Linked DNA regions of Tamandua tetradactyla. The protein of the gene in region 3 binds, or shares a complex with, the protein of the main gene of each other region. Links are inferred from orthologs where the notes say so. Each region holds a gene or a part of one and is shown on either strand. Other genes may lie near its edges.

What was found.
Region 1: TAF6 (region 3) and TAF7 share a complex: the UniProt entries of both Homo sapiens proteins name them as parts of the TFIID basal transcription factor complex. The link is inferred for Tamandua tetradactyla from reciprocal best matches to the Homo sapiens genes TAF6 and TAF7.
Region 2: TAF6 (region 3) and TAF13 share a complex: the UniProt entries of both Homo sapiens proteins name them as parts of the TFIID basal transcription factor complex. The link is inferred for Tamandua tetradactyla from reciprocal best matches to the Homo sapiens genes TAF6 and TAF13.

What each region holds. Positions count from the first base shown.
Region 1 is NC_135346.1:21,439,074-21,445,844, reverse strand, and holds TAF7 (transcription initiation factor TFIID subunit 7), read left to right. Parts: upstream 1-4,328; 5' UTR 4,329-4,644; intron 4,645-5,048; 5' UTR 5,049-5,111; coding exon 5,112-6,161; 3' UTR 6,162-6,184; downstream 6,185-6,771. UniProt on the Homo sapiens protein: The TFIID basal transcription factor complex plays a major role in the initiation of RNA polymerase II (Pol II)-dependent transcription.
Region 2 is NC_135337.1:13,851,493-13,859,332, forward strand, and holds the start of TAF13 (transcription initiation factor TFIID subunit 13), read left to right. Parts: upstream 1-4,781; 5' UTR 4,782-4,867; coding exon 4,868-4,894; intron 4,895-5,698; coding exon 5,699-5,777; intron 5,778-7,840. UniProt on the Homo sapiens protein: The TFIID basal transcription factor complex plays a major role in the initiation of RNA polymerase II (Pol II)-dependent transcription.
Region 3 is NC_135349.1:8,261,373-8,268,886, forward strand, and holds the start of TAF6 (transcription initiation factor TFIID subunit 6), read right to left. Parts: upstream 3,071-7,514; 5' UTR 2,794-3,070; intron 1-2,793. Other genes in the region: CNPY4 (protein canopy homolog 4), read left to right, coding at 3,205-3,346, 5,320-5,446, 5,545-5,641, 5,900-6,022, 6,522-6,639, 6,730-6,872. UniProt on the Homo sapiens protein: The TFIID basal transcription factor complex plays a major role in the initiation of RNA polymerase II (Pol II)-dependent transcription.

The DNA.
Region 1 (6,771 bases), on a different chromosome or scaffold from region 3:
GTATTAGCAGTAGCCTAATTATTGTCTTCCCTTATTATAGGTAGGAAGTCTTTGAAGGACTTGTTACCACTCTGGAAAATTTATTGCCTTCCCTAAATATTTGGTTCACTGGTATCACAGATATTCCATAAACAAGTACAGGGGGGTAATTGATCGGCTCAGAGTCTGTGTTTTTCTGTATGTTTAATGGATTTGAAAAAACGAACGAACCTGGATTTCTTAATAGATACTAAGGTGATGGTGATATGGCAGAGATCTTAACTTCAAGGTCAGTATAATCCCTCCCCACCCCATTTAATAGCCTTTAGAACACATGCTAAACTCAAAAGCCAATAATATGTTTCAGGATTAAATGAGTTAGATGCCTCAGGGAAACCTCAGTTAATCCCTTTGGTTAATTCAAACTGTCTTCCAGTTTAAGGTTTACTAACGAAAATACATCATAATTTGAGCAAATCAGTATTTAATAGAATTAATCTCAGGCTACTTTCTGTGACAAGGGCATTTGAATATCCCCAAACTTGGGGAATTAAAACATAAAATAATATTTAGATTATTTTCATTCATAAGCATTATTTATATTTTATATATAAATATATATATATATATAATTGCAGAGGCTAGAATGTTTACTCTTCTATCTGTAAAATAAGTAAAATCAGGTATAATTGAGGAACAAGCACATTGAAAAAATTTCCTCTTCAACAGACAGAAAATAGATCATCATGGAAATAATAAATGAATCAAATAGCATCCTTCAATACAAAGAGAAGGATGCCCTTCTGGAAGGGCATACTTTCTTCTTAAAGATTAACATAAAACTAAATTAATCCTAGGTCATTTTAATTTCTTCCTATAATACAATATCACAATCTACCTAAAACCAAGAGGACACATTCACATACACTATGATTAATCTCCCCTGCCCCATAACAATTGGCACTACCCTCAACTAGAGAAGAAATTATTATCTATGTATTAGAGACATAGATGAAGTGACTCTATCTCATTTTAAGGTGACAGAGAAAGTATTCTCTCTCATAAATTATGACAGGAGTTAGCCTATATTTGTGTTCTTTCTACATAGATCAATTTTCCATCCAATTAGCAAACTTTTCTTGTGTTTCTCCTATGTTGTGGTAGTAGGCACATGATGAATAAAATAGAAATGCTCCCTGACCATCACGGAGCTTTCAATCTGGGGTGAGGAAAACAATTAACAAGTGCATAAATAAAGCAATTTTGGGAATATTAATCAGACAAGATATTCTCTTAAATTCATGTGTAATTGTTAATATTTGAGAGGATAGCAATTAGATTCTAAACGACTTTGATGCTCTACCAAACTGATCCTATTTGAAAAAAATGGAAATGAGTAGGAATAAGTGGAAACCCTTATCTATTACTTGGCAACAATATAAATAGGTGTTGATGCACACCAGACAACCCATACGTGAAACAAACAGAAAATAGCCAGCAAAACAGTAGTGCCATAGTGAAAAAAATTCAGCATGTGTGTTGGTTTGAAAGGATTATGTACCCTAGAAAAGCCATGTTTTAATCCTAATCACTCTTGTGAGAGAAATGTTTTCTTCTAATCTCTAGGTTGGAAATTTGATTAGTTTATTTCCACAGAGATGTGATTCACCCAATTGTGGTGATTAAACTTGATTAGATGAAGAGGTGTCTCCACCCATCCTACATGGGACTTGATTAGTTTACTGGAATCGTATAAAAGAAGAGACATTTCAGAGAGAGTTCCCTTTTTTGAGAACGAGGAGAGGAGCGCAGAGTCAGACACAAGGACGAGAGAACCACAGAGTCCACCAGCCAGGGACCTTTGGAGATGAAGGAACACTCCTCCCCAGGAGCTTCATGAAGCAAAAGTCCTGGAGAGAAAGCTAGCAGACGCTGCCGTGTTTGCCATGTGCCCTTTCAGCTGAGAAAGAAACGCGCTGAACGTCATCAGCCTTCTCCAACGAAGGTATCTTTCCCTGGATGCTTAGATTGGACCCTTCTATAGACTTGTTTTAATTTCGACAATTTCACAGCCTTAGAACTGTAAGCTAGCAAGTTATTAAATTCCCCTTCTTAAAAGCCATTCCGGACCCAGCAATACCATTGCTAGGTATCTACTCAAAGGACTTAAGGGCAAAGACACAAACGGACATTTGCACACCAATGTTTATAGCAGCATTATTTACAATTGCAAAGAGATGGAAACAGCCAAAATCTCCATCAACAGAAGAGTGGCTAAACAAACTGTGGTATATACATACGATGGAATATTATGCAGCTTTAAGACAAGATAAACTTATGAACCATGTAATAACATGGATGGACCTAGAGAATATTATGCTGAGTGAATCCAGCCAAAAACTAAAGGACAAATACTGTATGGTCCCACTGATGTGAACGGACATTCGAGAATAAACTTGAAATATGTCATTGGTAACAGAGTTCAGCAGGAGTTAGAAACAGGGTAAGACAATGGGTAATTGAAGCTGAAGGGATACAGACTGTGCAACAGGACTAGATACAAAAACTCAAAAATGGACAGCACAATAATACCTAATTGTAAAGTAATCATGTTAAAACACTGAATGAAGCTGCATCTGAGCTATAGGTTTTTGTCTTGTTTTGTTTTGTTTTGTTTTGATTTTACTATTATTACTTTTATTTTTTTCTCTATATTAACATTCTATATCTTTTTCGGTTATGTTGCTAGTTCTTCTAAACCAATGCAAATGTACTAAGAAATGATGATCATGCATCTATGTGATGATGTTAAGAATTAATGATTGCATGTGTAGAATGGTATGATCTCTAAATGTTGGGTTAATTTCTTTTTTTCCGTTAATTAAAAAAAAAAAAAGAGAAGGGATAATTGGAGATGAAGGGATACAGACTGTACAACGGGACTTGATATAAAAACTCAGAAATGGACAGCACAATACTACCCAATTGTAATGCAATTATGTTAAAACACTGAATGAGGCTGCATGGAGGTATAGGTTTTTTGTTTTTGTTTTTTTTGTTTTTTTTTCTTCCTATTATTGTTTCAATTCTTATTCTGTTGTCTTTTTATTTCTTTTTCTAAATCGATGCAAATGTACTAAGAAATGATGAATATGCAACTATGTGATGTTATTAAGAATTACTGATTGTACATGTAGATTGGAATGATTTCTAATTGTTTTGTTAATTCTTTTTTTAATTAATAAAAAAAAAATTTACTGAGGTATAAAAAAAAAAAAAAAAAAAAAAACAAGGAAAAATCAAAAAAAAAAAAAAAAAAAAAAAAAAAAACACTGAATGAAGCTGCATCTGAGCTATAGGTTTTTGTTTTGTTTTGTTTTGTTTTGATTTTACTATTATTACTTTTATTTTTTTCTCTATATTAACATTCTATATCTTTTTCGGTTATGTTGCTAGTTCTTCTAAACCAATGCAAATGTACTAAGAAATGATGATCATGCATCTATGTGATGATGTTAAGAATTAATGATTGCATGTGTAGAATGGTATGATCTCTAAATGTTGGGTTAATTTCTTTTTTTCCGTTAATTAAAAAAAAAAAAAGAGAAGGGATAATTGGAGATGAAGGGATACAGACTGTACAACGGGACTGGATATAAAAACTCAGAAATGGACAGCACAATACTACCCAGTTGTAATGCAATTATGTTAAAACACTGAATGAAGCTGCATGTGAGGTATAGGTTTTTTGTTTTTGTTTTTTTTTCTTTCTATTATTGTTTTAATTCTTATTCTGTTGTCTTTTTATTTCTTTTTCTAAATCGATGCAAATGTACTAAGAAATGATGAATATGCAACTATGTGATGTTATTAAGAATTACTGATTGTACATGTAGATTGGAATGATTTCTAATTGTTTTGTTAATTCTTTTTTTAATTAATAAAAAAAAAAAAAAAGCCATTCCGTTCTAGCATATTGCATTCCGGCAGCTAGCAAACCAGAACAGTTATAAATTCTTGTATTGGCTCCCAGACACACTTTGGGGAGCATCATATTCCTTGAAGCAGTGACACTTTGCACACTAACGCCCTTATCTCCGGTAATCATCCGGAAGCCTAGAGGCTATCCGGCTCCATGGAGATCCGATAAAAGTCCTGGCTTAGCAGGGTAGCTAGAGGTGGGGGGTAGGGGAAGTCTGTCTCTTAATCCGAACTGTTATTTCCGTGCGTTCTCAAACCAAAAGCTCTGTATGAAATATTTTACTTCTTACGGGGTTTACGGTCTACGTTGTCGCAAAAATTGGCCTTTCACGCCCAGCTGCGCAAACGCGCATGCGCGCGCCGGGCGGCTCTCATTTCCGGGCAGGGGGTCGTGTCGCTCAAGCCGCCTCCCGCCCCGCGCAGTGACGTAGCGCTTCTTTGTTCTCTAGGTCTGCAGCTCCGGACTGAGCGCTGCGGTATACTGAGCTGCGAATCTCGGCGACATTTCGCGTTGATAGCCCTGGTCCTTTCACTCGTAATTGGTAGCGGATCTTTGTGCCAACCGCTGAGAAGAACAGAGGCATCGAAAAGGAGACTCTGGGCCCCTGGCTGCCGTGCTTCGGGCCGAGTCCTCTTCCGCTCGCACCGGTCTGGAGAAGCCGAACTTGTAATCTTCAGTGGATTGTAAGTACCGGAGGCGAAGAAAGCTCACTGCGCCTCGCTTTTTAAAATATCTTTGTTCCGGGAGAGTTTGTGGATTGGGAATGTCTGTTGGGCATTACTTTCTGGGCCGAAAATAATTTCGCCGGAACCGCCATTTGCTTTGCTGCTTGCTAGCTGTTTGCATTGTCCGGCAGCGGCACCTAGAGGTTGAAACTTGGCATTGCAGCTAATAGATTTAAATGATCACAACTGCGAAAAAGCCAGTGTTTGTCAGTAACGACTGGTTCTCAGTCGCGTCATATTTAGAGAAAAGGCCTGGGACTTAATTCATAATTAAGTAAAAATAGATGCTTAGCTGCTGTTGTGTTTTAAACTTTGTAATGAAGAATTTCAGTTTGTAACAGTGGCTTTTCTAATTATTGCAGAAAGTAACTTGGAACTTGTTAGTGAAACAAGTTTTAGAGGAGAAGTGTCACAAGGAAGTAAAGATGAGTAAGAGCAAAGATGATGCTCCTCATGAGCTAGAGAGCCAGTTTATTCTACGCCTACCTCCGGAATATGCCTCTACTGTGAGGAGGGCAGTACAGTCTGGCCATGTCAACTTGAAAGACAGACTGACAATTGAGTTACATCCTGATGGGCGCCATGGAATTGTCAGAGTGGACCGGGTCCCACTGGCTTCAAAGTTGGTAGATCTGCCCTGCGTTATGGAAAGCTTGAAAACCATTGATAAAAAAACCTTTTACAAGACAGCTGATATCTGTCAGATGCTTGTGTCAACAGTGGATGGTGACCTCTACCCTCCAGTGGAAGAGCCAGTTGCCGCTGCTGATCCAAAAGCAAGCAAGAAAAAGGATAAGGACAAAGAGAAGAAGTTTATCTGGAACCATGGAATTACTCTGCCTCTAAAAAATGTCAGAAAGAGACGGTTCCGTAAGACAGCAAAGAAGAAGTACATTGAATCTCCAGATGTGGAAAAGGAAGTGAAGCGTTTGCTGAGTACAGATGCAGAAGCAGTCAGTACTCGTTGGGAAATCATTGCAGAAGATGAAACCAAAGAGGCAGAAAATCAGGGCCTTGATATCTCCTCTCCGGGAATGTCTGGCCATAGGCAGGGCCATGACTCATTAGAACACGATGAGCTTCGGGAGATATTTAATGACCTCAGCAGCAGCAGCGAAGATGAAGATGAGACGCATCATCCGGATGAAGAAGATATAAACATCATCGATACGGAGGAGGATCTGGAGAGACAGCTGCATGACAAGCTAAATGAATCAGATGAACAGCACCAAGAAAACGAGGGAACCAATCAGCTGGTTATGGGGATTCAGAAGCAGATTGATAACGTGAAGGGCAAGCTCCAAGAGACCCAGGACAGGGCAAAACGACAGGAGGATCTCATCATGAAGGTGGAAAACTTGGCGCTCAAGAACAGATTTCAGGCTGTGTTGGATGAACTCAAACAGAAGGAAGACCGAGAAAAGGAGCAGCTTAGCTCTTTGCAAGAAGAGCTAGAATCACTCCTAGAGAAGTGAGAAAACCTTTGATACTTAATTTTTTTTTTTTTTTTTTTTTTTTTTTTTTTTAAAGGAAAGACAGAGAGAAGGAAGGAAGGATAGAAGGAAGGAAGGAAGGAAGAAAGGGAAACATTTTTAAACATTTTCTTGTTTTATTGTATTCTGTTTCTCCGTTTTTGTTACATGGGCTGGGGCCGGGAATCGAACCGAGGTCCTCCGGCATAGCAGGCAAGCACTTTGCCCGCTGAGCCACCGCGGCCCGCCCTGATACTTAATTTTATTCCTCAGACAGGTCAGCCAAAAAGAAACACCTAGAATTGGATATTATGACCTTGTAGTAGTTCCTTTTCCCTCTTCTGTCTTCTGTTGAGTTTATCCTGTTTGTTTCTCAGAACCAGTTTGCTAGGTGTTTCTCTTCTAGGAAGTAGGCTTGTATAGGTAGAAAAATGATTTTAGGAAAGTTGTAGGATTGAACAGTTTAATGTTCATAATCACAGCTATACTGCAAGACTTTGCTGTTGTTACTCTGTTTGCCAGACACTATTGCTTTTTTGATGCCTTCTGAGATCAGTAAGAAAAGGCAGTGAAGCTAGTTTGCATTTTTTCCCCCATGCGTTAGCTATTTTCC
Region 2 (7,840 bases), on a different chromosome or scaffold from region 3:
TCTGTCTTTTCTTTTTGTCTCCCTGATGTACATGCTTCTATGCGTTTGCCCTTTGCCTCCCTTCTTTCTCATCATTGTCCCCATATAGTCTTTCAACCATCATCTTTATGTTGATGTCTCCCATATGATTTTCTCTGCTCATGATTCCCCATGGATTTCCAGGTCTGCACTTCCATGAGTTTATTGGGCATATCTGGACTCTCAGACTCAGATTAAACTTATTCCTTTCCTTTCCCAATTGCTTTCCCCTTTTACTTTCCTACTTATGTTAATGGCATACCATCCACCTGGATATAAACCTCTCATGCATATGTCTCAGAATCATTGAATCAGAAAGACCTATTAAGTCAACCTCCTTAAGTTTCTCTTGAATCATTTCCTTCTTCTTTTCTCCATTGCCTTAATTCAGGTTCTCATCATCTTTCATCTTATCTGGCCTTTCTGCTAAAGTGATCTTTTTTTTTTTTTTCTTAAAGATAGGTTTATGTGACTCCTCTGCTTGAAAATCACCCAGGAGTTCTCTGCAGTTTGAAATTCAGTCTCTGAAGAGAACATTCCAGGCCTTTCACAATATTACCCCAGGCTCACTTCCTGCATCGCTGCCCAACAAACTGGGCAACTCACCCTGAATATCTTGTCAAAACACACCATGACTCTTCCTGCTCTGTGCTTTATTCCTGCTCTGCTCATCACACTGCAGGGGTCCCCGATTCCCCCTCCCCGGCTTTATATTTTGGATCTTGGGTTCAGAAGGTTGAATTATTTGCATTCCACATGACATACTATTATAATTGGCCCTTCCAAAGCCCTTGTTCTTTATTTATTCTTTTGTTCCTATTTCCATTCCTCCTACTCCTACCACTCTAATGTGTTTAATATTTATGCTTTTTGTTTTATGCTCCTGTAAAATATGTATTGCTTTGCATGCATGTATTTTTAATCTACATAAATGATATTGTATTATAGGTCTCAGTTTATAATTTTTCCACTTAGTTCTAAAAAAAGCTCTATTCAGGTGGTCTGTTGCTTCTGATTACTGCATAGTACTCCTTTATGTACATCCAGCACGTTTTACCTATCCACTCTCCTGACGATGGACACCATGAATGTTTTACACCCCACCTTCTGGACGAGGCCAATATTTCATCATTGTCTAACACAGTGGTTCTCAATCTTATCAGACTCAAAAATCTTCCTTAAATAACAAATATATTATAATGGCTCCTTTATTATGTTGAAATTCACAGACAACATAACCTATTGTAGTAGACAGCCTCTAAAATAGTCCTCAGTGACCCCATTTTCCTGGTGTTCTTAAGAGATCTTCTCTCCTTGAGTGTGGGCTGGACTGGTTGACTTTCTTCCAGTGAACAGAATAGAGAGAAGTGATGGGATGTCAATTTCAAGATTAGGTTACAAAAAAGATTGTGGCTGTGTCATGGATGTTCTCCAAGACTCTCACTTATCTTCCCTGAGGGAAGCCAGCCGCCATGTTGTGAGCTGCCCTACGGAGAGGACTCCACGGCAAGGAACTGAGGCAGGCCTACTCCTACAGTTAGTGAGAACTGAGAGCCTATAGCCACTAGGAACTGAATCCTGCTGACAACAATATGAATGATTTTGGACGTGAATCTTCCTCCTTCGACCCTTAAATGGGACTGCAGCCCCAGTCAATGCTCTGAATGCAACATGAGAGACCTTGAGCCAGAGGCAACCAACTAAACCACACTCAGATTCCTAACCCGCAGAAATGATGTGATGCTAATTGTTTTAAGCTATTAGGTTTGGGGATAATTTGTTACACAGCAATAAATAATATACCTGCATACCCACATCATTTAAAAATAATACATCATTTCCTAAGTATAATATAAAGGTAAAATTAAGACAGTAAATTGTAATAAAATGCTTAGGCACAAGTACACTAGGGTTTGCAATGAAGTTTTCAAATGCTTGCACTGTTATGTTGTATCAACTTGAATGAAAGAGTTATAAATGCAGACTGATTCAGGTGAGTATTGTGTTGTTTTTATTTATTTTTTTTGTTTTTTATTCAGGTGAGTATTGGCTACTCAAATTATTACAAGTTGTGATGGTTAGGTTCATGAGTCAACTTGGCCAGGTAATGGAGCCCAGTTGTTTGGTCTAACAAGCACTGGCCTGTTACTGTGAGGGCATTTTGTGGACTTAAATCATCAATAAGTGGATTACATTATGGCTGATCATATCTACAGTCAACTGAAGAGATTGTGATACTAGACAAAAGCAGTGGGTTCTCTGCCTAGTGCACTCAAGCGACCAATTCATGAGATACCAGGGTTTCAAAGAGAGAAAAAGTTTATTGCTAGGTTTGAAGTCTAGGAGATCAGATGGCCTATCAGCCTGAAAATCTGTCTCCCTGGACTGCAGTAAGTCTGATAGTTTTATAGTATCAAAAGATGGGCAGGTTTTAGGATAATGAGCACAATGGCTCTAGATAATGAGGTTAGAGATAATCTAATCACTGAGCATGTGCAGGTTGACTTCATGCTTAGTCACAGAATGTATGTAAGAAAACGGAAGCCTTAATATGATGATGGGGCTGGTTTTTAGTAGTATAATGAAGTATAGGTCACTTATAGGTAAAAGTTTAAACTACTGTGCACGTCTAGTAAGTTGTTTTTAATTAGATCTAGCCTCGTTTACAGTTTTGGAGTTGTTCAGTGGTAGAATGCTCACCAGTTTTTTGTGGGAGAACCAGGTTTGATTCCTGGCCCATGCACAAGAAAAGAAAGGAAAAGAAAGAAGATCCTTTTGGAATTGGGGTGAGTTAGTTCTGGGCTGACTCCAAGCCCTTAATTAATAAACATTATGGACTATCTTTAGTGATTTAGTGAGGATCAGTAACAAGTTTTTTACAATCAATCATAAGGGTACAAAATAAAGGCTATATAATTATATAATCATTATCAAAGATCAAGACAATTAGATTATAGTTCAGCAATCTCAGGTATTTCCTTACAGTTATTCTAACACACTAGAAAGTAAAAATAAATATCTATATAATAATTCAGTAACCATAATCATTTCTTAAATCCTAAATTCTTGGTTACAACTGGCTTTAGCAATGAGAGACGACTCATCCAATGAGTTGAAGGCTTTAAAAGGATAAGTGATGATTTCAGCAGTCAGAGGAGAGAATTTTCATCTCCACTTCAGCCAGCCAGCTTCTCCTGGGGAATTCATTGAAAATCTTCAATGGAGTTCCTGGCATGCAGCCTGCCCTATAGAATATGGACTCATGCATTCCTACAGTTCCATGAGACACTTTTATAAAATTTTATAAGATTTGCAGATATCTCCTGTCAGTTCTGTTTCCATAGAGAATCTATAACCAAGAAATTAGGATTTTAAGGGATGATTTTGATTACAGAATCATTATATAGATATTCTTTTTTGCTTTCTGGCATATTGGAGTAGCCAGAAGGAAACTCCTGAAATCTCTAAATTGCAGTCTAGCTGCCTTGATCTCTGATAATGGTTGTATAGCCCTTATCTTCCGCCCCTGTGATTGTTAAAACCTTGTGACTAACCTTCATTTGTACCCAGTTTTCCAACTTTAGAGTTTTGTAATCACTAAAGATATCCCCTAAGGTTTATTAATGAAGGGTCCTGGGTCAGCCCAGAACTAACCCACTCCAAATATAAAGTTATTTTGATGACCAAGACCGGATCTAATCAAAGCGGGCCTGCTGGACATGCACCCTAGCTTAGTCTTTAACCTGTAAATCACCTATTCCTCATTCCATCGCTTTCTTTCATACATTCTGTGACTAAGCATGTGATCAATCTGCACGTGCTGAAAATCAGATTACCTCTAATTTCATTATCTGGGGCCACTGTGCTCATCCTAAATGCTGCCCATCCTTTTCTGTGTTAAAACTACCAGACTGACTGCAGTTTGGGGAGACCGATTTTGCTAGGCCATCTGCTCTCCTACTTTGCCCCTAGTAATAAACTCTTTCTCTCTGAAACTCTGTTTTCTCAGGCATTGGTTATCGAGTGTGTCGGGGAAAAAGAATCCATGGCCTTTGTCTGGCAACAAATCCTAATACATAAGTGATGTTGCCTTTGGTGACATGTCTTAAAAGGTCCGTAACTTTGTAAATTCCAAATAAAACCAAGTACAAAATCCCACCAATTCAGGATAGTTTTATTCCTAGAAAATTCAATACACACTGAAGTGCAGGAAAATGCTTTGTATTTATATGTTAACAAACTTAGTTCTAGGCTCAGATAATTATAAACAATTTTTTCATTCACATGAATGTTTATCAGGCTATTCAGAAATTGCATATATCAAGGAACAGTTTTTCCGTTGTGCGGCATCATCTCTTGCCTTGCAGGGCACCATAAATTCCTAGCTCCGGCCCTCAAATGACCATAGTTCATCCAATCATTATTTCACCAGAAAACTTTCCTACAAAATGTTTAATCCTCTCGGTCTTGAGGTCGTTACTGCCTCTCGAGAACTAGCAGCAAAGTAAAATATTGTCAATAACTGTTAATAGGGGGATCGTCAAGTGCTGAAATTGTTTAAATATACCCTTCAATCGGTCGAAGGACCGCTGGCTACCCCTCCCTTCCCCTTCCCCCTTCCTCTTCTTTGCTACAGTTTAATTCTTTCTTCAGTATCACGGGGACAACGAGGCGCCCCTCCTGCAGATAAGCCCTTCATTCAGCAGCCACACGGGCCTGCAAGCTCCGCAGGCCGACCGGCTGTGACCGGCTAGGACCCGCCCTCTGGCCCTCCCAGACTTTGCGTCACAGGAAGTGAGGAAGCGGAAGTAGTAAGACGCGGAAAAACATAGGTTTGCTGGATGGTAGGATGGCAGATGAGGAAGAGGACCCCACGGTGAGTGACCGCTTCTGTCCCAGCTCTCCCTTCTCTTTTCTCTTTTCGGGCTCCGTAGCGGCGGCTTTTGAAGCTGAATTCAGAATCGGGTTTGTTTTCCTTAGTGAATTTCCAAGAGAGTTCGGTGACCTCTCGCCGTGCTTGTCTCTCCCTTTGGAGTCGTTTTAGTACGCGGAATAGGACGTGAAGAGTAGGGAGATGCCTCCTTTTCCTTTGGTTTTGGTTCATATCTGCCAGACAGTCTTTGAAACGCCTAGAGAATTCTCAAGAGTTGAAGGCTAATAATTGTTAGCGCTCATTATGAATCAACAGTTCAACTTCTGACAAAGCTGATATACTTACTTCAAATTAATGGAAAAATAATGGACTAAAAGTCAGGGAACTTGAACTTCAAAATCTGTTTTTTGAGCAAGTTATTTAACTTTGAACTTCTGTTTCCTTGTAAATGGGATTAAAGTTTACTTGAGGAAAGCTCGTAGCACTACACAAATAAGTGTTTAGTAAGTATTACTGTTTCTTACTACAGGGAGGTAGTTTTGATTTAATACTACCAACTCTTTTACCGGTAGCAGTCTATAAATAGGCCAACTTGATTTAAAAAAAAAAGTAACTAAAGAGTCTGAAGTTGAACTAAATAATCTTTAAGGCCCTTTCAATGTTAAGATTTCATAATTTATTGTTGTTTGCCTTAAGCTTTCTGACCTGATGTTAGTGTTGAAAATGAAAAAAAAAAGTTAATCATTAAAAACTCAAATGCAATGCAATCGTATGACATTTATATGTATATATATATTTAACTTCTAGTTTGAGGAAGAAAATGAAGAAATTGGAGGAGGTGCAGAAGGTGGACAGGGTAAAAGAAAGAGACTTTTTTCTAAAGAATGTAAGTTATATTTGGCAATGGTTTTATTATGGACGGTTACAAGCTTCTGAACCTGTCTGTACTAAGCAGATTATCATTCTGAATTATCATTCTGTGAGTCCCTGTAAGAACAATATTCTTGGACTTGTCTATTCTGTTTAGTTTTAAATTGTAGATAATAACAATCCTAACCTCAACTTATAATTGAGGTTTTTAAGTGAAGAAATGTGTTTTAATTCGGCGCATAAGAACATATCCATCCATTACTTTTTCTATCCCTCATCTTTGCAGCAAAGGAACTTCTTTGACTATTAAGCATAAGAAATGATGGATTCTGGTATACATCTGCCCCTACTACTGATACTGTAGGCCAACCCCTAAAAGGCTGTCCATCTCCCAGTTCAGTTTCCTTTACTATGAGTTTTGACAGATGAGGCTACACACAGATTTATAAATATCTGGTTTATTTATGCTGGGTCAAATATGAGCAGTTCCCAAATGCTCTTGAAATTGTAGGATCAGTATATCTTTTTGTTCTTTTTTTAAAAACCACCCAAATTGATTCTCATATCTCAATTCCTTACCTAAAATAGAGCTTACCTAACTAGTATGTGTTCCATCTCTGCTGTTATTTAATCTAATTATATGTGGTTTTATGTATTCATAAAAAAGGGCTCTCTACCTCAGAGCATCCCAGAATGATGCTTGCATAGTTCTTCGCAGAGACCTTTGTTCCATTTGGATTACTTTATTTTTATGATGGTAAGAATTTGGAATTTCGACAGCCTTCTCCTTGGTTTACCTGAATTTTTAATCTATCTTACTGAAAAAGAAGATCTGTTCAAACTCTTTCTCATTTATTTTTAATTTTTTGCAGTTTTATTGAGATATATTCACACCATAGTATTCAATCAGTATCTCACAGTATCATCCATAACACAATTGTGCATTTATCACCACAATTTTAGAACGTTTTCATTACTGTGATTGAATGCAATTCATCCATAGTATTCAATCAGTATCTCACAGTATCATCCATAACACAATTGTGCATTTATCACCACAATTTTAGAACATTTTCATTACTGTGATTGAATACAATTCATCCATAGTATTCAATCAGTATCTCACAGTATCATCCATAACGTAATTGTGCATTTATCATCACAATTTTAGAACATTTTCATTACTGCAAAACAAAAAACCCCAAAACATCTCATACCTCTTATCCCCCCAATTACTGACCCCTAGCTTTGATTTGTTACATTTGTTACTGTTCATGAAAGGATGTTAAAATATTCCTGTTATCTATACTGTCCATAGTTTGCAGTAGGTCCATTTCTCCCCATATACAACTATATTATTATCTCCTTGTAATAGTGATGTATGTACATTTGTTCTAGTTCATGAAAGAACATTTTTATATTTATACTATTAATCACAGTCATTGTTCACCACAGGGTTCACTGTATTATACAGTCCCATGTTTTATCCTCCAGCTTTCCTTCTAGTGACATACACAATTCTAAACTTACCCTTTCATCCGCAATCACATGCAAAATTTAGTGCTGTTAACTGTTAATTACACTTACTATAATGTGCTACAATCACTTCCATTCATTTCCAAACATTTAAATTCAACATAGTTAAAAGTTCTGCACACTTTAAGCGTCTGCTCCCCATTCTTTACCCTCATTCTATATCCTGGCAACCTATATTCTAGATTTTATCTCTATGAGTTCACATATAATTAGTTTATATCGTACAATATTTGTACTTTTGTGTCTGACTTACTTCACTGAACGTAATGTTTTCCAGGTTCATCTATGTCATGTACTTCAGGACTTCATTCTTATTTACTGCTGAATAATATCCCATTGTATGTATATACCACAGTTGTTTATCCATTCATTAGTTGATGTGCATTTGGGTTGTTTCCATCTTTTGGCAATTGTGAATAATGCTGCTATGAACATCAGTGTGCAAATGTCTGTTTGCATTCTGCTTTCAGTTCTTCTGGGTATATACCTAGTAGTGGGATTGTCAGATCATATGGCAGTTCTCTACTTAGTTTCCTGAGGTAC
Region 3 (7,514 bases):
TCTGTACAACTGGACATGATGAGACAACCGTGCTGACCAGTTCTCACTTGAAATTCATGACCATGAGCATCCGATGGACCCATAAGCCTGCTAGACATCTTAAAAAAAATACAAAATCTTTTCTTGAACCTACTTTCTGCACCAGCTATACCCTGCTTTGTTGTTGTTGTTTCTTGTAACAGAACTCCTTCAAAGAGTTCTCTTAACTCTCTGTTTCAAATTCCTCTTCTTTCCTCTTTAAACCTACTCCAAGTGGGCTTTTGCCCCCATTTATGCTCCTAAAACTGCTCATTAAGGTCACCAGTGACTGGACATTGCCAAAAGATCCTCTCCTTGTCATCTTACTTGACCTCTCAGCAGTATTTAACATGAGTGACCACCTTCTCCTCCTGAAACACTTCCTTTATTCAGCTGCTTCACCTTCTCCTGGTTTTCCTCCTACCTCTCTGGCCATATCCTCCGTTTCTCTTACTGTTTTTCCTCTTTTCCCTACCTGCTTAATGTTGGAGTGTCCTGGGCTCAATCCTTGGTTGTCTTCTCTAGCTGTGTTGTCTCCCTTAGTCATCTCAACTACTCCTACAAGGAAGTATTTTTTAAAGGCTGGTGATGGCCAAATTTATATCCCCAGCCTAGATGGCTCTCCCTAATTTCAGACTTGAATATCCAACTGCCGCTCAAAATCACGCTTAAAACTGAACTGTTCATCTCCCTATCTACCTGTTCCAGCCTCAACTTTCCTCATTTTTAAGCAATGCCAACTTTTCTTTATCTGATCCCTCACTTTGAATCCCCCAGATAATCCAAACTGGTTCCTTCACTCCCACCCTTGGATAGCATCAGCAGCCTAACAAGGTCTCCCTGCTTCTACCTTTGCCTCCCTACATTCATTCCTAACATAGCCGCCAAAGGGATTGTTAAAATATAAATAATAAAATGTAAATAAATAACATTATTATGACATAATAATGTAATTATGTCATTTTTCTGCTCAAAACCCTGCCACGGCTCTCCATTTACCTTAGAGAAAGATCCGAAACACTTCTAATAGTCTACAAGGCCCTTGAAGGTTTGTCCCCTCCCCATTACATTTCTGACCTGCTTTCCCCCATGTTGGGGATTGAATCATGTGCCCCACAAAAGGCATTTTCAGGTCCTGACCCCTGACCTGGTGTGAACCCATTTGCAAATAGGACCTTTAAGGATATTAGTTAAGGTATGACCAATCTAATATGGCTGAAATCCTTATAAGCAAAGGAAACTGAACACAGAAGGAAAAGCCACGAGAAACAGCCAGAGGCTGTAAGTCAGTGGCACGGGGATGAGAAAGAAGACACCACCACCATGTGCACTGCCATGTGACAGAAAAGCCAAGGAATCCCAAAGAATGCTGGCCAGCTAGAAGCAACCTACCAGGGGAGGGTGTATGCCTTTTAGCTTCTGAAACCATCAGCCAATAAATTCCTGCTGTTCAGCCAACTCATTATATGGTGTTTGTTTTAGCAGCTAGGAAACTAAGACACCTTCCTTCTTTTATCCTGAGCCAGCCACACTGTTGTCCTTACAGTTCTCTGAAACTGCCAGGTATGTTCTGGCTATTTAAAGCTCTTGCTGTTCTTTCTGCCTGGAATGCTCTTCTCCAGATGTCTGCTTGGCTGTCCTTCCTGACCACCATATTTAATACTGTACCCCACCCTCATTCTGCTCTACTGACCTTTTTTTCCCCCATAGAATCTAAAATCTTCTAATATATTGTATCATTATTATTGTTTATCACCACCATGGTCCCCACCATGAAAGCTCCATGAGAACAGGGATTTTATTATGTTCACTGATGTATTCCAAGAGCCTAGAACAGTGCCGGAGGGGAGAGAAACATTTAGATAATCTCTGAATAAATGAATTGTAAGGCTTAGAGCTATTTGTATATACCATGTCTGTTCAATAAATATCCCTTATTGCTATCACTAAGATGAATAAGACGTAGGCCGAAGCTTGGAATCTATTCTGTGGTCAAAAGTAAGGGGGCATGCTTGGAGATGTGCTTTAGGAAGATAACAGTGTTCAGGTCCGACTGTCCTGGGAAGGAGAGAAAAGGGGCATGCTGTGGAGGGCGGGGAAGATGGAAGCCGCAGGTGAATCTGCTTCTTCTCAAACCATCCCCGGGGTCCTTTCTCACTTGTAAGAAGGAACACATCTATTCAACACATGCACTGTGCCGGCGGCAGGGATACCTGATGCCGTCCTGTGCCAATTCCCTGCCAAACTCCTACTAATCCTTCGACATCCAGCAGTACTCTCTGCCCCCTAGGTAAAGCCTCCCCATTTCCCTACAGAACTAAGCATTCCTCCACCTGTGTCCCCAGGACACAGTCCTTTCCAGAGTTCATCCCACTGGAGGGTGACTATTTACGTTATGTCTTCTTGCTACTCCCGCACTGGGACCCGTAGACAGCAGGTATCTAATAAAGGCTTATAAGACATGTTACAGCTTTGGGGGTCTCTCAGGCCGGTAGAGACAGTTGGAAAGCTTCCCAAGAGAGGGGAAGGTCTTCAAGGTGATTGGTGCAGGAATTTTTTCAACAGAGAAGCCGAGAGAAGCTGCCCAGGCAATGGGAATCGCGCTAATGAAGGCTCAGCGAACTCTCGCTCGCAGCATCCCTCCAATGCAAACGCACGCACCGGAGTCCCCACGCGCACGGACACATCACCAACTGTCCTCTTCCTGATACTCTCCCGATAGCACTCAGACCCACCCCCGTTAGCCAAGCGCCCAGCGCAGGAATTGTCTCTCACCAGTGTCACAGCGCCGCTCATCCGGCGTCCGGCGCCATGTTAGGCCCGCCCCCTCTGAGGAGCAGGACCTGGCAGAGATGGAGAGCAATGCACGACCCTTTTCCAGAGCCGGAATAAGTTCCCTAGGCTCAAAGCCTTAAATAATATTTTAAAAAATAATGCTTCCATATCCATATGTAAGAAGCACGCTCTCCTTTCTCAGTTACTTCAATTGACTTCTTCACTGCTCGGCGGCCAGGACCTTCAGCTGGCGCGACAAACCTGGGGCGGAGAAGGAGGCTGAGGTCCCGCCCCTATGGGATTGGCACGGCGCACGCGCTTCCGGTGCCAGGCTGGATTTCAGGTTGCCGCCCACCACCTCTGAATTTAAAGGGCCCGCTACCCTGCCGGAGTTGGTTTGAGGGTAGGGAGATGGTGATTTGCGGACCGCACTTAGTCATGGGACCTGTGCTGTTGGGAACGTTGCTTTTCATTTTGACCGTGTTCGGGGCTTGGGCTGGGACGCCGAAGGAGGAGGATGAGGACACAGAACGCTTGCCCAGCAAATGCGAAGGTATCTAAAGTCATCAGCCCCTTTCCGTAGCCCCCTGCCCCGCCTGCCCCTGCTGGGGACACGTTTGGGTTGAGGGAGTGAGAATGGAAAGGTTAGAAAGGTTAGGGCAGAGAGGCTTGTAGGCTCCACTAAAATCGACATCTGATTTCTGATCACGGTAAAAGGCCTGCAGAGGTGTTAAACCAAGAACTGACACGACCAAATGGACCGTGATGGGTCTCCTTGAAATTCAGAGGGAGGGTCTCGTGGAATTTGGCAAAATTCGAATGGGGTCAAGGAAGGGATCGCAAAGTGCTGCCCTCAAACTGTGGCACTCCAATTCTCACGAGACAACCGGAAGGAGACCCCTTATCCGGCTGCCATGGGCTCCGATAGTTTGTGGGAATTGTAGTTCAGGAACTTTCTGCCTGGGACTGCCCACTCTACTGAGCATATTCAGTTTGTGTGTGTGTTTCCCCCATGTCATCGGATCTAAGTCTGGAGAACTCAGATCTTGCAGAGCAAGGTGTGTGAGGCTGATACTTTGTGGACATCTTCTACCTCACCCCGGCAGAGACGCTCCTAAATTACAGGCCCATGCCCACCCCTGAGGGAGTTTGGAGGGTAGGAACTCTGCCCTTGAAGCTCATAAACAAGGTAGGAGGATGCTTCACTGCTGAGAAGTTCTCCAACAGTGTGTGCTTTGCCGAGGGCATGTATTGTATGGCTTTTACAGCAAGCAGCAGCTTCTGTGGCTGCATCAGTTTGGACCACGCTGGGCCGGCACACTCCAGTGCTGGAGAATTGAGTGTCTTCCTGGCTTTCATTTCTTCCTGGGATCCCTTTTCTCATACCCCCACTGCATTTAAATATCAATTAAATATCAGTGTCCCTCAGGCCTTGATCCTCAGCTTTTTTCTCATTTACTTCTGACCCCTCCCCTTCGTGTGCTTCTCCCCCCACTTTTCCATCAGTCTTTCTAAACATAGTCCTAATTGACTCAGTCCTTGCTTTGGCATCGCCACAGGCCTCTTACTATGATCAGAAACAGCTAGTTTCTAGCATAGCATATAAATCTCTTTGCTGTTTGCTCCCAACCTTTTTTACCTTTCCATCCTCCCCCCCCCCCCATCGCTAAAGTGCCACATGCATCAGCCATACTGGTCACTGAACCTGCCTCATCCTCTTGTACCTCTGTGCCTCTGCATTTTACTCTTCCCCGTGCCTGGAGTGACCCTCTCATCTGAATCTGGCAAGCTCCTATCTATTCTTTAAGACCCAGTTTAAATGTCACCTCCCCTGGAAGCCTTCTTCTTCATCTGTCATCTCCCACTAGCTCCTTGAGACAGTGGGGGATGGTTTTGTTTCCCCAGGTCCTAGCATGGTGCCTAGTACATTTTGGACATTTTTGTCATTTGCCCCAGTGTATCATTTACTTGTCACTTCTGTCTAGGCCATTCCCTTTCTTGGGACCCACCATGTGCCAGGTAACGTGATAGGTGCTGAAAAGACAGTGGTGGAGCAGACTTCACCCTTAAGCACACTGCAGTCTAATAAGAGGTCAGTAAATGACCATTGAAGGAATTTTGTATTTACTAATGAGAGTCTTGGTCTGAACCCTTAGTGTAGGGTGCCATCATCTGTTCGTCTGTCTTTCCACAACTACCTGGGCAACATCACTTGGATAGGTATTGTGGGTCTTACTGCTCTATTGCTAGTGTGCATACAGAAGGAGCTCAATAAGTAACTGCAGAATAACAGCAGTTATATAATCCTCACCACATCACTATAAAAGAGGTACTTGTATTATCTCTATTTTAGAGATGAAGAAATGGAAGCACAGTGAGATTTTCACACAGCTGCGAAGTGGGAACCAGGATTCCCACCAGTCTGGTTCCAGAGTCTGCACTGTGCTGCCTTTGGTCATTTGCTGATTGAGTTGCTTGTATGTATTTGTCGTTCATGACCCCTTGGACCTCTCTTTCCTCCACCAGTCTGTAAGCTGCTGAGCCTGGAGCTACAGGAGAACCTGAGTCGAACTGGCCAGTCTCGAGAGGTACTGGAGTTGGGACAGGTGCTGGACACAGGCAAGAGGAAAAGACATGTTCCTTACAGCGTTTCGTGAGTCTTTCTTGGTGCTTCTCCACCATCCAAGCCCTGAAAGAGCGCTGGGAACTCCTACAGCATCTAGGAAGTCTTTGTTTCCCCTCTTCCCACAGGGAGACGAGGCTAGAAGAGGCCTTGGAGAATTTATGTGAGCAGATCCTGGATTACAGCGTTCATGCTGACCGCAAGGGCTCCCTGAGATATGCCAAGGTCAGACCCTTTATGGGGCAGCCGTGATGGGAATGCCACTTTTCAGAAACAGTGACCTATATTCCCAGAAGTCCTGGGGAGATGTCTGCCCAACCTCCCCCAGCTCCAGAATATACCTTCCCCTCATCAGCCTTCCACATCTCACCCTCATGGAATGTAGCCCTGAATCTCCAGTAGATGACATCACTGATGTGGTAGGGAAGGGGAAGGGAAAAGCAGGCAGTGGGCTGGGCTAATACCAAATTCCTCATCTCCCAGGGTCAGAGTCAGACCATGGCAACCCTCAAAGGCCTGGTGCAGAAAGGGGTGAAGGTGGATCTGGGGATCCCTCTGGAGCTGTGGGACGAGCCCAGCGTGGAGGTCACGTTCCTTAAGAAGCAGGTATGATGGGATACTACACTGCAAGGGAACCTGAGAGGGAAGCTAGGTCCTAGGATTGACTGGAGGGGATGTCCACCTCTGCCCAGAGAGAAGGGGGAAGAAGTGGCAAGAGTGAAGACTATGCCATCAATTGATGTTGGCCCTGAAGCCTGTCAAGAAGCGGTAACAGAGACTACTAATAACCACTACTGCTTATTGAGCACATGGCATGTGCCTGAGTCAGAACCACAAGACACCCAATGTGGTGGGTACTATAACCATTTTACAGGCAAGAAACTGAGACCCAAAGTTTAATAGGTAACCTACTTGGCACAGAGTAGGTACTAGTAAATGTTTGAATGAAGGAGGATCACACATCTAGCAAACCAGGCTTACCCTCCAGGCTGCCTCCAAGGTCAATCAGCTCAGGTAGGGGAGACAAGGAGTAGAGAGCAGAGAAGAGGGTTTTCAAACCCCAGCACAGCGGACACCTTTCTGGTTCTTTCTTCCTCTTGGTCAGTGTGAGACTATGCTGGAGGAGTTTGAAGATGTCGTGGGAGACTGGTACTTCCACCACCAGGAGCAGCCTCTACAGCACTTTCTCTGTGAAGACCATGTGCTCCCAGCTGCAGAAACGGGTAAATGTGTGGACTGGCCCCTTTCCTACTTACCCAAAACCGCCCCTACTCCCTATATCTATCTAAATTGCCTTCTCTCACTCAATCTAGCATGTCTACAGGAAGCCTGGACAGGGAAGGAGAAGGAGATCACAGATGGGCAAGAAAAGACAGAAGGGGAAGAAGAGGAGCAGGAGGAGGAAGAGATGAATAATATGCCAGGCCACCCCAAGCATGACCCAGAGGACCTTTGAAGCTTGCCTTTGAGCCCTCAGGAGGGACAGGGGTCATGGGGAAGAATCCTCTGACATCTGAACTCTCCCTGCCTCCACAGCTTTAAGAGGGTGTGTTTGTGTGTGAGTGACCCCAGTCCAGAGCCTGTAGCTGTAGTCTTCCATCTGGTCCCAGGCAGTATTCCTGGTGGTGCTGCATGGCATAGCTTCTCACATGGGGAGAAGATGGGAGGAGCAGGTAGAAGACCTGCCTCAACAGACAAGCCCTCTGCCTGCCACCCAGCCCTTTAACTGGCAGATACGGGAAGTGACAGTATGGAAGGCTTTCCCCTTTATCTCTGCTACCTCCAGAGGTCAGCAGTGGCTGCAAGGCTAAGGGCCTTGGGACAGTTACTTTGCCTCTTTAGGTCTTAGTTTTTATACCATTGCAAGAGGCCGGAGCGGATATCCTCTACGACCTATTCACACTATCTGCTTCCAGGAGGTCTGCGTGCCGGCAAATTGAACAAGAAGGGGACAATGGATGGGGGCAGGACGATGCTGATAAATTAGGCAGGATAGATACTTGGACTACTTCATATTAATTTCACCGAGGACACACTATATAATTTCACAGGTGCCAAATTTTCTATAACGCTATTAAACTTAAAAAAAAAAAAATCA